Pelodiscus sinensis: one gene and its partner. Each later gene encodes a partner of the first gene's protein in a complex. Links are inferred from orthologs where the notes say so. Each region holds a gene or a part of one and is shown on either strand. Other genes may lie near its edges.

Region 1 (6,900 bases):
ACAGCCCACAACAAATATTTGTCTCTCTGAGACAGCGAACAGCTAGCAGTTTTCTTGGAATTTGTGGGAGGTCTGCCCCCCCCTTTATTTTTTCTAGAAATACAGTCTAAGAATAAAAGACAACAATGGCTATGAGATAGCATTAGAAGAGAGGAAAAAAAGGTGGTCAGACAGAAGCTACAGTATGTACATTATGCTTGAGTAGGTATCTGACAGAAGCTGTTTATGTGTATGAAATGTCACCAGATACAGCTCATGGGAGAAGATATCCAAGGAACTGAAATGTAACCGGGATGACAGAATTCAGACAGGCATGTCTAGGTATAATGCAGGAGAGGAAAGATGAATCGGTACCAACACCACAAGATCTAAAGATATCTGCTGAACAAAAAGAGCTGGAGAGCAAATTGCCAGAAGAGGATGGTAATCTGTGGAAAAACATCATGAGGACAAGGCAGAAGAAGAAACCACCTAGTGGTAATGAAACTGAGTTGAGGGATACATTTGTTGCACTGGGAACTGACAGAGTGGCAAGGAAGAAAAGAAGGGAAGTTCCCACTGTATCAGAGGCAGCAGTGGAGGGCAGCAGCCAGCTCCTGGGAGCACAACATGAGTGTAACCGTTTACAGTAACCGATAATCCCAGGGTTACCGGTTAACTGTTTAAATGATTATCCTGTTATGCCCCTACTTTCTAATCAAGCTATGAAATAATCTGCAAAGTCTGTGAAAATCAAGTTATTGAGCAAGTATAAACAGTGAACATAAAATAATATTCCCAGTTATAGTTTGCTCCTGTTCATGCACCAGTTGGTTCTCTGAAGTCTAGTAGGAACCTTATCTCAAAATAAATAGGCAAGCTAAGTATACCTCCATGAACCTAGGGTAATGCTAAAAGGACAAAGTGAAGGAAGCAGTACACAAAACTGATTAAGCAGTAAGTTAGAGGAAGCTTGGGAAAAAACTTTAATCTTCCCTATTAAATAAGTAATACTGCAAAAGACACCCAAGCAGGCAGATTTGCTCAAACCTTTCAGATACTGGAAAACTGAAAATAAAAGGAGAATGAGCAGTACAAGAGAATATAACTGCAATAAATAGGATGAAATTAAACAAAGTTCAGTATGAATATCAGAAAGAAAGCTTTTGACACTGCTATTTCAGAAGTCCCCTCTTGTGAGATTTAAAACAAACAGACTGAAGTGCTAGATACCATCCTATGAATCTCAGAGTCTTTTGTTTCTCTAACTTCAATAATTCAGTTTCTCATACTGCCCATCACTTTTTACATAATTAGCCTTATGTGCATGGTATCAAAGTGTTTAAGCTCCTGTACAGATTTTCTTCATGGTTCACTGCAGGAGTGGGAGTAGAAAGAGGATGACTAATAGTTTAATCAAGTATGTTTCTGAAGGGTAAAGATGATCAAGGAGCATCAAGGTGGAAGACCACAACCAAAATTTATCAGAAAAAAAAAAAGGAGGAACAAATATTACGTAATTCTCAAGTAAATAGTTTGAGACCAGCAGTCTAACACTTTTAGTCAGTCACACCATTAATTTCCAACTCACGTCAGATCATTTCCCATTTAAAATCTAAGATTATAACTGATGTACAACCCCACCCCTCCACCCACACACTTTCACAACTGTACCATTTGTGTTTGACAGCACTGTATGCAATTCAGTGTCATAGTTTCCTCTGTACAATCAGTGTCTACTTTTATTTGTTGGGTCGCACAAACAACGAGGGAGTGAAAACTTTTCAAAATAATGTATAGAACGACAGGAGGCACTTTTAAATCCCTTTTAAAGCTGCACTTGAAAAGGAATCCTCTGAACTGTCATTCATGCTAAAATTCGACACTCTATGTGGGGGTCTCAACAAAGACTCTAGCTATCTTACCCATTACAAAGATAGCTTCCCCAATCACCACCTCTAATACCATTAGTTCACAGACATTTACCTTCCCCCACCCCTCTCCATCCACCTTCTGTTCTGAAATTTGATTGTCCTTTTCATAGGTGTTCATTTTTTAAATTGTATCCTTTGGTATATATGGTTGTGACTATTTTCTTCCACTATTTGATCTGAGGAAGTGGGTCTGGCCCACGAAAGCTCATCATCTAATAAACCATCTTGTTAGTCTTTAAAGTGCTACATTGTCCTGTATTTTGCTTCAGGAGGCAACAGAGAATTCCTGTTCAAGTTCTTAAATGTGGGAACACCGGCTTTAGTTTAAAACTATTGAGGTTTCACATGAAGTATTCTTTTTAATAGATTTAACTGCAAAATATTCCAAAATAAGCAACTCACAAATCGAATCTTGGACAGCACAACTAATCTACCACTTCTACCCAACCTCATCTATTGGCCCATTAAGCTCATATTCTGTATGAAACAGCACCCAGAACTACATGCCCCAAAACAAAAATCCTGAGGCTTGACCTGAACAAGCGCCAGAACAAAACTACAGCGAGTCTCTGGTGGCTTCAGGCTCCGGAAAAACGTTTTTACCAAGTTCTCCGACTGTGGGGATCCCCCCGTTAGCAGCGCTCACCCAGGGAGCGACTGGCCAGCGCGACACGCCTCTCTGCCCCAAACCGTGAGCCCTCTGGACCGAAGGGCAGTGGAGCGGGGCGCTCGCAGGCCCCAGGAGGAGGAGACACCCAGCGCGGGCCGAGCCGCTCGCCCCAGCCCCGGGGAGCGCGGAGCCGCCGGGGAAGCCGAGCCCGCGCGGTGCCTGAGGCCGAACGCGGCCAGGCCCCCCAGCAGCGCCCGGCTCCGGCACGCGAGCGCCGCCGCTCAGGATCGGGGCCCCGGCGGCCGAGCACCGCGCGCCGCGGGGCGGGCTGACCTGTGGTGCCGTCTCTTCCGCGGGGCGGGGGGCGGCGCGTCCCGCCGGGGGGCGCTGGGGAAGAGCAGGGAGCGCAGCGCCTCCACCAGCCATTGGTACATAGGCCTCGGCCACCGGAGGCGGAAGTGCGGCTGTTTCGCGCGACGGCGTGACGTCACGGACGGAGCCCTCTCCAGCAGGCGCGGGGCGAATCGGCGCTACCTGCGCGCGGGGACCCGCCCGACCCCTTCCTCATTGGCCAGAGGCTTGTTCGGTCCTGATTGGGGGAGAAAAGGGAGGGGCGGGGACCGAGCGCCGCGCGCGTCTCTGCATCACCTTTGGCGGAGGAGCGCGCGTCTCATGGCGGTGGGCGGGGCGAGCCGGGCTCCGCCCCCGCCAGGCACCGACCCGGCTCCCTGCCACTCGCTAGTGCCACAACCCCCATCAGCACCCCCACACACACACCCCTCCCCCACTGACCAGCACACCACCCGCAACCCCCACACACACCCCTCCCCCACTGACCAGCACACCCCCACACACCCCTCCCCCACTGACCAGCACACCCCCCCACACACCCCTCCCCCACTGACCAGCACCCCCTCCACCCCCACACACCCCTCCCCCACTGACCAGCCCCCTCTACCCCCACACACACCCCTCCCCCACTGACCAGCACCCCCCCAACACCCCTCCCCCACTGACCAGCACCCCCCCAACACCCCTCCCCCACTGACCAGCACCCCCTCCACCCCCACACACCCCTCCCCCACTGACCAGCCCCTCCTCCACCCCCACAAACACCCCTCCTCCCTTGACCAGCACCCCCCCAAACACCCCTCCTCCCGTGACCAGCACACCCACCACAAACACATCCCTCCCTCACAGCACACACACCCCCACTCCTTACCCTGGCAATGCCCTCTCCCACCAACACACCACTTCACACTTTCTCCTCTTCCCCCCCCCCAAAAAAAAGCCACCCCTCTGTTTTCCACCAGCTGTTTCCTCCATCAATTTCAACAGCAAAGATTCATTCCTGGTTTCCAGCTACTGCTCACCTTCAACATTTTACCTTCTAGTGCTGGAGTGCTGCCCATTGCTTGGGTTCATGCCTCACCCTCCCTAGCATGTTTGTTATTTACAGAGCTCATGGTGGTTCCACACCTGAGCAATACACACAAATTGTTGATGGGCACCATACCAGAAGGTACTTGGTAAAGTCTTCAGTTTTGTGACTAAGCAGGACAAAAAATGTTAAACACTTCAGAAATGACCTGAGGAAGAGCTGTGTGTGAGATCCTAACCTCATCTCCCTCTGCCAAGCAAACATTGGTCCAAGAAAAGATTACCTCACTCAACTCACAATTTCAAAAATTAGTTTTGAAGCCCATTTCAAAAGCTATGTAAAATGTGTTCACCTTTTCAAAACAACTTCTACTATTCAATTAGGCATAGCCCTCAAAATCTGAAAGTACAAGTTCTTTTCATTATATGGACGTGGGGCGGGCCAAAAATAAAAATAAAATACCTTTTCTGAACATTACAAATTTACCCATGGATGGGCTGTTGCTTCTCTGTTTTCCTGAGACCTTTAGAGGTGCTTAAGTAACAAGGCTTCTCTATCGCACAGCTGACATGACGGACAAGAGGTGCAGCAAGAGTCCCTGTGCGTCATCAGTCTACTTTGCAATATACAAGCAGCTAATTTAGCAGTTCTCCACTACAGGGTGTAGCATACCAGTGATGCGTACAATCAGGTCTCCTGCTCATGGCTGAGCAATGGAATATACTAGCCTTAAGGAGTGATCTTTCAGCCTGATCTGGTAAGCGCCTGACACTTTCTGTATGAAAAGTGGACAAGAGCTGGTATGCAGCAGGACAGAGAGGTCTGGCAAGGAGAGATGCATTTTTCTGTCCTTAGGAATATCCATTCCGATTTGTGACAAGTTCTACACTGCTGAAGATTGTAACTTACCATCACAGCTCTCTGTCACCATATTAAAATACCTCAACGCCATTGATCTTCCTGTCTGTATTGCCCTAACGTCTCACTTCATTGGATCACAGAATTCATATGCCCAATAAGAGAATGGACGATGATCCTGGTGTTGCTTCCCTATTAAAACAGCCTTTGGCGTAGGAGGATGTGCATCATATTGGAAGGCAGGCATGCATGTGTTCCAATTTCATTTCCACTGACTGTTGATAAGTGGCTCTCCTTCCCAGTTGTTACTAAACATATCCCTCAAAGAGATTACCTAAGCTGGAGATAGAACCCAGGAATATGAATACAGCCAACCCAAATTTCCTCTCAGAAAGCACAGGGCATATCTTTTTCCTTAACTGTGCAGTCTGTAAATTGGGGTTATTCATGCTTACATAACACACTGAAACAGCTGATTATGCATCCTCCTCTAATGCAGGCTCACATAAGAACAGCCTCCTGCTCCCAGCCAGCAAAACCTGGTAGCCCAAGGAACAGCCATCAACGTTAACAGGTGTGGCTCCAAACCAACATGCTGGGGGTGGTGGGATTACAGTTGCACTTAATGGATTTTTTTTACCTTTTCACTGCAAGAAAAGCCAAGGCATTACATTGACAAGCTGCATTAAAAGAACTTAGGAAGGTTCACAGGGGTAGCTGTGTTAGTCTGTAACAGAAAAAAAAATTAAAAACCAACAAATGGTTGTAAAGTCACTCACTCAAGCTAGGAAATGCTCATGAAATATTGCTAATGACCCACAGAACTTTTCCCCTGTAGGACACCAATTTGAATCTAGCCCAGTTCAGGAGGGATTATAAAATGTTCTCCTCAACTGGCTGTTTGCTGGCCAGAGATGAAGGGAGATCCTGCAGCATAGAACCCTCCCTGCCACCCACACATACATTTCCCACCACTTGACCGATACAGCAGAGAGGCCATGAAGAGTAGATGACCCCAGCCATCATAATGTAAGCCCTTTCCCATACCTACCAAGGGGAAGAAAGATGAAATTCTCTGGCAGGGTCACAGCTGCTGCAAGCTTGCCCTACATTACCCCACTGTTGATATTACAAATGTGTGGTTCTACACAAATCAGTTCCTTACATAGTTTGCATGGAGCATCACCCAAGAGACCCTGTAAGTTTGGCAGCTGAGTCACCACGCCTGGCTTCTGCTCTGCTCAGCCACCTTACTTCCCACCCCTGCAATTACTCACAGCACCTGCTTCCAAACTCACTTCTACAGAAGGCCTGTGGCCAAGGCTCCTCCCAAGCAGCTGAACCTCTTATAAAGCCTCTCCTCCCTCCCTCCAAAGTAGCAGCCTCTATTCCCTTTCAATCAGCTGTGTTCACCATCCAGCAGCCAGGCAGCCTTAATTCAGTTAATCCCTTCTTTTCCAGCTTTCAAATCCCTGCTCATGGGAAGCGGGGAGTGCCAGGCGATACGGACAACCTCTGACAGGCTTTTGATCTCATTTCCTCAGTGCTGTTATTGTCTTTTCAGTCAGCCATGTCAGGTGAAGCCCCTATTGACCTTTGAACCTGACCAAGCCAACTGAAAAGTCAGCAAACTGAAGGGCTAAAATAAGAGGCCAAAAAATATAAACAACTATAAGGTTAAAAACCTCAGGAACAAATATTGCTCAGTCACTCAGGACACGCAGATTTTCCCCTTGTTCAGGACTCTGCTCTGAATATTCTCTGCTTAGCTCCTATCCTCTGCATAGCCTGCCCCAAAAGTTCAAACTCCTAAGGGTTACGTCTACACTGGCAGCTTCTTGCACAAGAACTGTTATGTTGAAGAGTTCTTGTGCAAAAAGTCTTCCACAAGAGCATGTCTACACTGGCATGTGCTTTTGCACAAGAGCATCTATGGCAGTGTGGACATTCTCTTGCGCAAGAAAGCTCTGATGGCCATTTTAGCCACAGGGGTTTCTTGCGCAAGAAATTCATGTTGCCTGTCTACACTGCCCTCTTGCGCAAGAGGGCTTATTCCTCGTGGGGAGAGGAATAACTCTTCCAGAAGAAGCCCTGTTTTCTGACTCGAGTCTGTAAATTTACTTGCACAAGAACGCACG
Region 2 (7,669 bases), about 390 kb from region 1:
GCTATCTCTGTTCCTTATGTGTATTGTGTAACTTGTATTGCTTCTACAAGGGATGTATGTCACACTGATGTATGTGAATTATTGCTTTGTATGCACATACGTATTCTCCTTTGCAAATGTATGCTTACAACTCCTTCCACATACATACATGTATTTATATGTATACATTTATGTGGTTTTGTATGCAAGTCTTTTAATAGAATCTATGGCTAGAAGGAATGTGCGAGATCTAGTCTGACCTTTTGTATAACATGTCTTGTATATGTATTAGCACAACATGCCAGGATCCATAGGAGCCAAATACATTCCCCAGTGTATGTATACGTATGTGCACTTTTTGTGCACTGGTCTGAATTGTGTGCATTTATTTGTATACATGTCTGTTACTATTGTATATGCAGGAGTTGTGCATACATGTATGTTAGTTGTGGGGTTTGTGCATCTATGCATACTTTGTGGGGGAAATAGCATCTATGCATACTTTGTGCATGTTTTGTACATGTGTGCATCCATGTTGGCATGTGGATACACTATAAACAGCTCAGGATGCATGTTTATGCATGTCTTTTCATTTACAAAAACATGTGCCTGTTTTCCTATATGCTCATACATGTTTATGCAGGCATATTCATTAGTGTATATTGGTTCATGTTTATTTCTATGTGTATATATGTTGGCCATTGGCCACACAGAGGGCTATAGCTATCTATATGTCCATTAGTGTACATGGGGGTGTATTTTGCATGTGTACACGGGAGAGTCATGAGCAGTCACACAAGGGAACACAAGTACAGGCGCTCCCAGACTTGTGATGTGATTGGTTCTGGGGGAAGCGGTGCAAGGCGGGGGCGTTGTAACTCGAACCTACGTTTACAATAGGTGCCATGCGGTGTTGTAATTACAGGCCAAGGATGTAAGGCGGGGGTTTCCAGCCCCTTCCACACTTACAAAAACGGTCGTAAGTGGGTGGGGGGGGGGTCGCAACTTGGGCTGGATGAAAGGGGGGGGTTTCCTGTATTTGTACGCCTCTATGCAGCCTCAGTTGCCCCATCTTTAAAATGGGGAGGACAGTACCACGCTCAAGCTGCGGGTGCACAGTGGCGGCTCGGAGCCGGACATTGTGTGTCTGTGCTGGGGGGTGTCAGACAGGGAAGGGGCTGCCAGGGGCTACCCCCTCCACCCCCCCCCTCGCCCACCAGGCCAGTACTCCTGGAGGGCAGATGTAATTGTGGCAGTACCAGGACTTGGGGGAAGCTGCCCCCCCTCCCTCAGGCTGTGGGAGGCGCTGCCCCAGGGGCCCCTGTGCTGCCCCCCCAGGCTCTGAGAGGCGCTGCCCCGGGGCCCCCGTGCTGCCCCCCCAAGCTCTGAGAGGCGCTGCCCCGGGGGCCCCGTGCTGCCCCCCCAGGCTCTGAGAGGCGCTGACCCAGGGCCCCATGCTGCCCCCCCCAAGCTCTGAGAGGCGCTGACCCAGGGCCCCGTGCTGCTCCCCCAGGCTCTGAGAGGCGCTGCCCCCCCCCCAGGCTCTGAGAGGCGCTGACCATGGGGCCCCCGTGCTGCCCCCCCCAGGCTCTGAGAGGCGCTGCCCCGGGGCCCCCGTGCTGCCCCCCCAGGCTCTGAGAGGCGCTGCCCCGGGGCCCCTGTGCTGCCCCCCCCCAGGCTCTGAGAGGCGCTGCCCCGGGGGCCCCGTGCTGCCCCCCCAGGCTCTGAGAGGTGCTGCCCCCCCAGGCTCTGAGAGGCGCTGACCCGGGGGCCCCCGTGCTGCTCCCCCCAGGCTCTGAGAGGCGCTGCCCCGGGGGTCCCCGTGCTGCCCCCCCAGGCTCTGAGAGGCGCTGCCCCGGGGCCCCTGTGCTGCCCCCCCAGGCTCTGAGAGGCGCTGCCCCAGGGGCCCCCGTGCTGCCCCCCCAGGCTCTGAGAGGTGCTGCCCCCCCAGGCTCTGAGAGGCGCTGACCCGGGGGCCCCCGTGCTGCTCCCCCCAGGCTCTGAGAGGCGCTGCCCCCCCCAGGCTCTGAGAGGCGCTGCCCCCCCCAGGCTCTGAGAGGCGCTGCCCCGGGGGTCCCCGTGCTGCCCCCCCAGGCTCTGAGAGGCACTGCCCCGGGGCCCCTGTGCTGCCCCCCCAGGCTCTGAGAGGCGCTGCCCCAGGGGCCCCCGTGCTGCCCCCCCAAGCTCTGAGAGGCGCTGCCCCGGGGGCCCCGTGCTGCCCCCCCAGGCTCTGAGAGGCGCTGACCCAGGGCCCCATGCTGCCCCCCCAAGCTCTGAGAGGCGCTGCCCCGGGGGCCCCGTGCTGCCCCCCCAGGCTCTGAGAGGCGCTGCCCCAGGGGCCCCCGTGCTGCCCCCCCAAGCTCTGAGAGGCGCTGCCCCCCCCAGGCTCTGAGAGGCGCTGACCATGGGGCCCCCGTGCTACTCCCCCCAGGCTCTGAGGCACGCTGACCATGGGGCCCCCGTGCTGCTCCCCCCAGGCTCTGAGGCGCGCTGACCCGGGGGCCCCCGTGCTGCCCCCCCAGGCTCTGAGGCGCGCTGACCCGGGGGCCCCGTGCTGCCCCCCCAGGCTCTGAGGCGCGCTGACCCGGGGGCCCCGTGCTGCCCCCCCCCCAGGCTCTGAGAGGCGCTGCCCCGGGGCCCCCGTGCTGCCCCCCCCCCAGGCTCTGAGAGGCGCTGCCCCGGGGCCCCCGTGCTGCCCCCCCCCAGGCTCTGAGAGGCGCTGCCCCGGGGCCCCCGTGCTGCCCCCCCCCCCCAGGCTCTGAGAGGCGCTGCCCCGGGGGCCCCCGTGCTGCCCCCCCCCCAGGCTCTGAGAGGCGCTGACCCGGGGGCCCCCGTGCTGCCCCCCCCCCAGGCTCTGAGAGGCGCTGACCCGGGGGCCCCCGTGCTGCCCCCCCCCAGGCTCTGGGAGGCGCTGCCCCGGGGGCCCCGTGCTGCCCCCCCCAGGCTCTGAGAGGCGCTGCCCCAGGGGCCCCCGTGCTGCCCCCCCCCAGGCTCTGGGAGTCGCTGCCCCGGGGGCCCCCGTGCTGCCCCCCCCCAGGCTCTGGGAGGCGCTGCCCCGGGGGCCCCCGTGCTGCCCCCCCAGGCTCTGGGAGGCGCTGCCCCGGGGGCCCCCGTGCTGCCCCCCCCAGGCTCTGAGAGGCGCTGCCCCGGGGCCCCCGTGCTGCCCCCCCAGGCTCTGGGTGGCGCTGCCCCGGGGGCCCCCGTGCTGCCCCCCCCAGGCTCTGAGAGGCGCTGCCCCGGGGCCCCCGTGCTGCCCCCCCCCAGGCTCTGAGAGGCGCTGCCCGGGGGGCCCCCGTGCTGCCCCCCCCCAGGCTCTGAGAGGCGCTGCCCCGGGGGCCCCCGTGCTGCCCCCCCCCAGGCTCTGAGAGGCGCTGCCCCGGGGGCCCCCGTGCTGCCCCCCCCAGGCTCTGAGAGGCGCTGCCCCGGGGGCCCCCGTGCTGCCCCCCCCCAGGCTCTGAGAGGCGCTGCCCCGGGGGCCCCCGTGCTGCCCCCCCCCAGGCTCTGAGAGGCGCTGCCCCGGGGGCCCCCGTGCTGCCCCCCCCCAGGCTCTGAGAGGCGCTGCCCCGGGGCCCCCGTGCTGCCCCCCCCCAGGCTCTGAGAGGCGCTGCCCCGAGGGCCCCCGTGCTGCCCCCCCCCAGGCTCTGAGAGGCGCTGCCCCGAGGGCCCCCGCGCTGCCCCCCCCAGGCTCTGAGAGGCGCTGCCCCGGGGCCCCCGCGCTGCCCCCCCCAGGCTCTGAGAGGCGCTGCCCCGGGGGCCCCCGTGCTGCCCCCCCAGGCTCTGGGAGGCGCTGCCCCGGGGCCCCCGTGCTGCCCCCCCCAGGCTCTGGGAGGCGCTGCCCCGGGGCCCCCGTGCTGCCCCCCCCAGGCTCTGGGAGGCGCTGCCCCGGGGCCCCCGTGCTGCCCCCCCCCAGGCTCTGAGAGGCGCTGCCCCGGGGCCCCCGTGCTGCCCCCCCCAGGCTCTGGGAGGCGCTGCCCCGGGGCCCCTGTGCTGCCCCCCCCAGGCTCTGGGAGGCGCTGCCCCGGGGCCCCCGTGCTGCCCCCCCCAGGCTCTGAGAGGCGCTGCCCCGGGGCCCCCGTGCTGCCCCCCCCAGGCTCTGGGAGGCGCTGCCCCGGGGCCCCCGTGCTGCCCCCCCCCCAGGCTCTGAGAGGCGCTGCCCCGGGGGCCCCCGTGCTGCCCCCCCCAGGCTCTGAGAGGCGCTGCCCCGGGGCCCCCGTGCTGCCCCCCCCAGGCTCTGAGAGGCGCTGCCCCGGGGCCCCCGTGCTGCCCCCCCCAGGCTCTGAGAGGCGCTGACCCGGGGGCCCCCGTGCTGCCCCCCCCCCAGGCTCTGAGAGGCGCTGCCCCGGGGGCCCCCGTGCTGCCCCCCCCAGGCTCTGAGAGGCGCTGCCCCGGGGCCCCCGTGCTGCCCCCCCCCAGGCTCTGAGAGGCGCTGCCCCGGGGCCCCCGTGCTGCCCCCCCCCAAGCTCTGAGAGGCGCTGCCCCGGGGCCCCCGTGCTGCCCCCCCCCAGGCTCTGAGAGGCGCTGCCCCGGGGGCCCCCGTGCTGCCCCCCCCAAGCACTGTGGGGCGCTCCCTTGGCCCCTCCATGTTGGCGCCCCGCACCAGTTCCGGTTCCCCGATGACGCACTTCCGAGCGCCCCGCCCTGCCTCCGCCCCTAAAGCGCGCCCCCGACAAGCATCGCTCGCGAGCGCGCCTCGTGAGCGCGCGCCGGCACGTGGCCCCCGCCGGAGCCAATCAGGGGCCGGGGATTCGGGGGGCGAAGCGCGCGCTCGCGGGCAGTTGCGGCGGTTGCGAGGCGGGAGCCCGGAGCGTGACTGTGCCCGCGCCAGGCCGGACTCGTCCGACGCCGCCATGTCCGAGGAGAAGCCCAAGGTAACGGCCTGCGCGGGACGGGCTCCCCCCGCCCCCGCCCGCGAGGGATGCCGGGAGCGCGGCCTGGCTGCGGGCCAGGCCCCGGGAGCGGCCGCGCGGGGCCGTCGGGGGAGCGCCCGCCCCGTGGCCCCGCCCCAAGCGCGGCCTGAGGCCTGGTGTGGGGGAGGGGCGTCCGGGTAGGGCCTGTGGCAAGTCCCTGGGCCCGGCCCCGCCCCCCAGGGGACCCCTGGCCCGGGAGCGGGGGGGACGTGCCCCGGCCGAGGCCTCGCCCGGCTAGCCGGAACGCCCAGCGTGGCCCGGGGGCTCCGGCCCGGCCGTGGGGTGAGACGCCCAGCCCCTTTCGGTACCAGGCGCGCTCACACAGAGAACACGAGCCGTCGGAAAGCGGGACCTGGACGTCGTCTGGAAAGCCACCGGCTGGATTGCCACTTCGGGACTCGCCATTGAAGAGGAAGAGATTTGTGCCAAAAGATGGAAAGCGAATCCGTTGATTAGCCAATGCCTCTTTCAGGTGGTCCCTGTACATTCTTTAAGGGACGGTGTTGCAGCAGTGCACAGAAAACGTCCTTGGTACGGGCTGGCATTGGGCCTCATTGATGGAGGCAGTGGTACTTGGTGGGTTCTTGCTCAGTTCTTTGATTCTGAAACTTGTGGAAGCTTCTGACTTTCCTCTTCAGGGTTTTAACAATTGTCGGTCATCAGCAGCGCTCGACAAGTCATTGAATCTACTCGCCACGTTTCTTCCGGTCGCCCCATTCATCGGCGGCGCTTGCATGTGCAATGCGGGTCTTGCGCATGCGCACTGCGGGGCTGGTGAACAGATTTCGCCACTGTTTGTCAAGCCCTGGTCATCAGGATCTTGAGAAACTGAAGAACTTCTTGTCACCTGGAACTAGAACACTCATTCTTAAGCTGATGATAATTGAGAAACTGTTAAGTTTATTTAGTGGGATGAGGAGGCCAGAAATTAAGTGTTTGGGAATTACTGAGAAGACCTGTGTGACTAATCTTCAGAGCCCATGTGTCAGGAGGTATGGTTCAGGAGGAGAAAGTTCTTCAGTCTTCCTGTTGAGTTGATGGGCTCCTTGGCTGGCAAGATTTTGCTGTATAGAAAAGACGCTTCCACCTGTTGCCTGATGCAAGAAAAGAGATGAAAGATTTGGCAACCCTGGATTTGTTGGAAGTTGTGGTGACTGAAATTTTCCCTTGAATCCCTGAAAGAGCATTGGTTGGGCAAGAGCTCATTTAAGTCTCAAAAATTCTTTGGTGTCTTTTTGAGGGATCCCATGAAAAGTGTAATTTCACCAAAAGGCGTTTCAATGACAGAGGTGATGGTCACAGGAAAGTATCTTGAAGAGCCTGCGGTCATGGCATTGTTTACGTTGATTGAGAGAGAGAGACCCACAATTGGTCAGTTCAGTCCAGTCAGTAGTCAGGAGTTCTTTTGGATTCCTCACTAACATTGATTGAGCTCTCACTTGTCAGTATCTGCAAGCGGTGCTTACTTCTGTGTCTGTTTAGCTAGGGAAACTCTGTCCCATCTAGATGGACAAAGAGCTGCTAGTGCAGAAGGCTACAGCACATCAGCAGCAACACAGACATATCACATCTGTCCTCTGTCCTCTATGCTGGCTTCCCATAGAACCAGCAAATCAAGGTTTCAGTTGTTACCTTCAAAGTGCTCCTTGGCCTGAGCCAAGTACCTAAAGGATTGTCTAAAACTCAGAGGCAAAGAGCATGGTTAACAGCTCTGCTCCTGTAGCACTGTAGAAATCTCAACAATAAGAGTAAAGCTTGTCTGTGCAGGAGACCGATTTCTTCAGAGGTTGTCTGAGATGCTGGAATGAGCTACCCCAAGGATGAAGTACCACCACAAACCTCACCATTTTCTGATTCAAGGGCAAGACCCATCTCTTTCATCTAGCCTTCTCCACTCTTTAACAACATATATTTATATAAAAAAAGCCGTAGGGGTGGAAGCAGACACTACTGAACAATCATACTTCCCTGAACACGTTTCTCCCTCTAGGGAGAGGATGAGAACAAATAACATATGACAGTAGTCACATCACGCAGCATGTTACTGGAAGGCGTTCAGATGCTATTGAGATCCGTGCATTGTAAAAGCATATAGAATGAGATTGACCTAGTAGGTCTATGTCCAAAGCGCTAAGCCAAGCTAGAATGTTTCAGAAAGAGTCCTGCTAGAAAACTTAGCAATGATGTAGATTGTTATATAGGAAACAGAGTGCTAACTGGTCAATCTTTAGCTTTTTCTTGACTTTTGTGGGCAGTCTTAGATTTAGGATGTTGCATGGAGTGTATAATAAAGATGTGAGCAAAAACAGGTGGTGTAAAATTGTTTTGTAGGACAGTGAGCAGATATTCAGAGACCCTTTCCAGTGAGTTTTTAAACATGTGGCCCACAGAATCCTTAATGGTTCTTTTCCTTCCACTGAGATTAGAAAGTTCGTGTGCTGGAAGCAGTCTTAAGCTGAAAGAAGGGAGGCTCAATCTAAGGGCAAGGAGGACTGGATTTTCCTAGCTGTACTTGGTGTAGCTTTTCTGTAGCTCTGCTCTTAGATATTTTTTTTTCTCTGGATTAGGGATGTTATCCGGTTAACTGGCAATCATCACCCTAAAAGGCTAATGCTTATTGGGTCGTCTTAACCAGTAGGGTGCTGGAGCAGTAAAGCCTCCTGCTCAGGAGCCGCTCTTACATGCAGAGCTTACCCATTTGTGTTGATAACTTGTGTGAATGTTTATGATAGGGATGTTAAATTGCGTTTAATCAACTAATTGACTAGTGGCTCTTAATACAT

The links. The genes of interacting proteins can lie anywhere in the genome.
Region 2: the proteins of SENP2 (region 1) and SUMO3 are in contact, whole or in part, in a crystal structure (PDB 2IO1), measured with the Homo sapiens proteins. The link is inferred for Pelodiscus sinensis from reciprocal best matches to the Homo sapiens genes SENP2 and SUMO3. Residues at the interface, in NP_067640.2 of Homo sapiens: Gln385, Asp386, Phe393, Lys394, Leu395, Arg396, Trp410, Leu411, Asn412, Asp413, Glu414, Ser439, Thr440, Phe441, Pro444, Lys445, Arg456, Trp457, Lys459, His474, Lys476, Val477, His478, Trp479, Met497, Gln499, Gln542, Asn544, Gly545, Ser546; in NP_008867.2 of Homo sapiens: Arg55, Arg58, Arg60, Phe61, Asp62, Gly63, Pro65, Asn67, Asp70, Leu75, Asp81, Asp84, Phe86, Gln87, Gln88, Gln89, Thr90, Gly91, Gly92, Val93, Pro94, Glu95.

The regions. Positions count from the first base shown.
Region 1 is NC_134720.1:3,563,633-3,570,532, forward strand, and holds the start of SENP2 (sentrin-specific protease 2), read right to left. Parts: upstream 3,016-6,900; 5' UTR 2,958-3,015; coding exon 2,857-2,957; intron 2,803-2,856; exon of another isoform or gene 2,560-2,802; intron 1-2,559. UniProt on the Homo sapiens protein: Protease that catalyzes two essential functions in the SUMO pathway.
Region 2 is NC_134720.1:3,174,919-3,182,587, reverse strand, and holds the start of SUMO3 (small ubiquitin-related modifier 3), read left to right. Parts: upstream 1-4,662; 5' UTR 4,663-4,826; coding exon 4,827-4,847; intron 4,848-7,669. UniProt on the Homo sapiens protein: Ubiquitin-like protein which can be covalently attached to target lysines either as a monomer or as a lysine-linked polymer. Does not seem to be involved in protein degradation and may function as an antagonist of ubiquitin in the degradation process.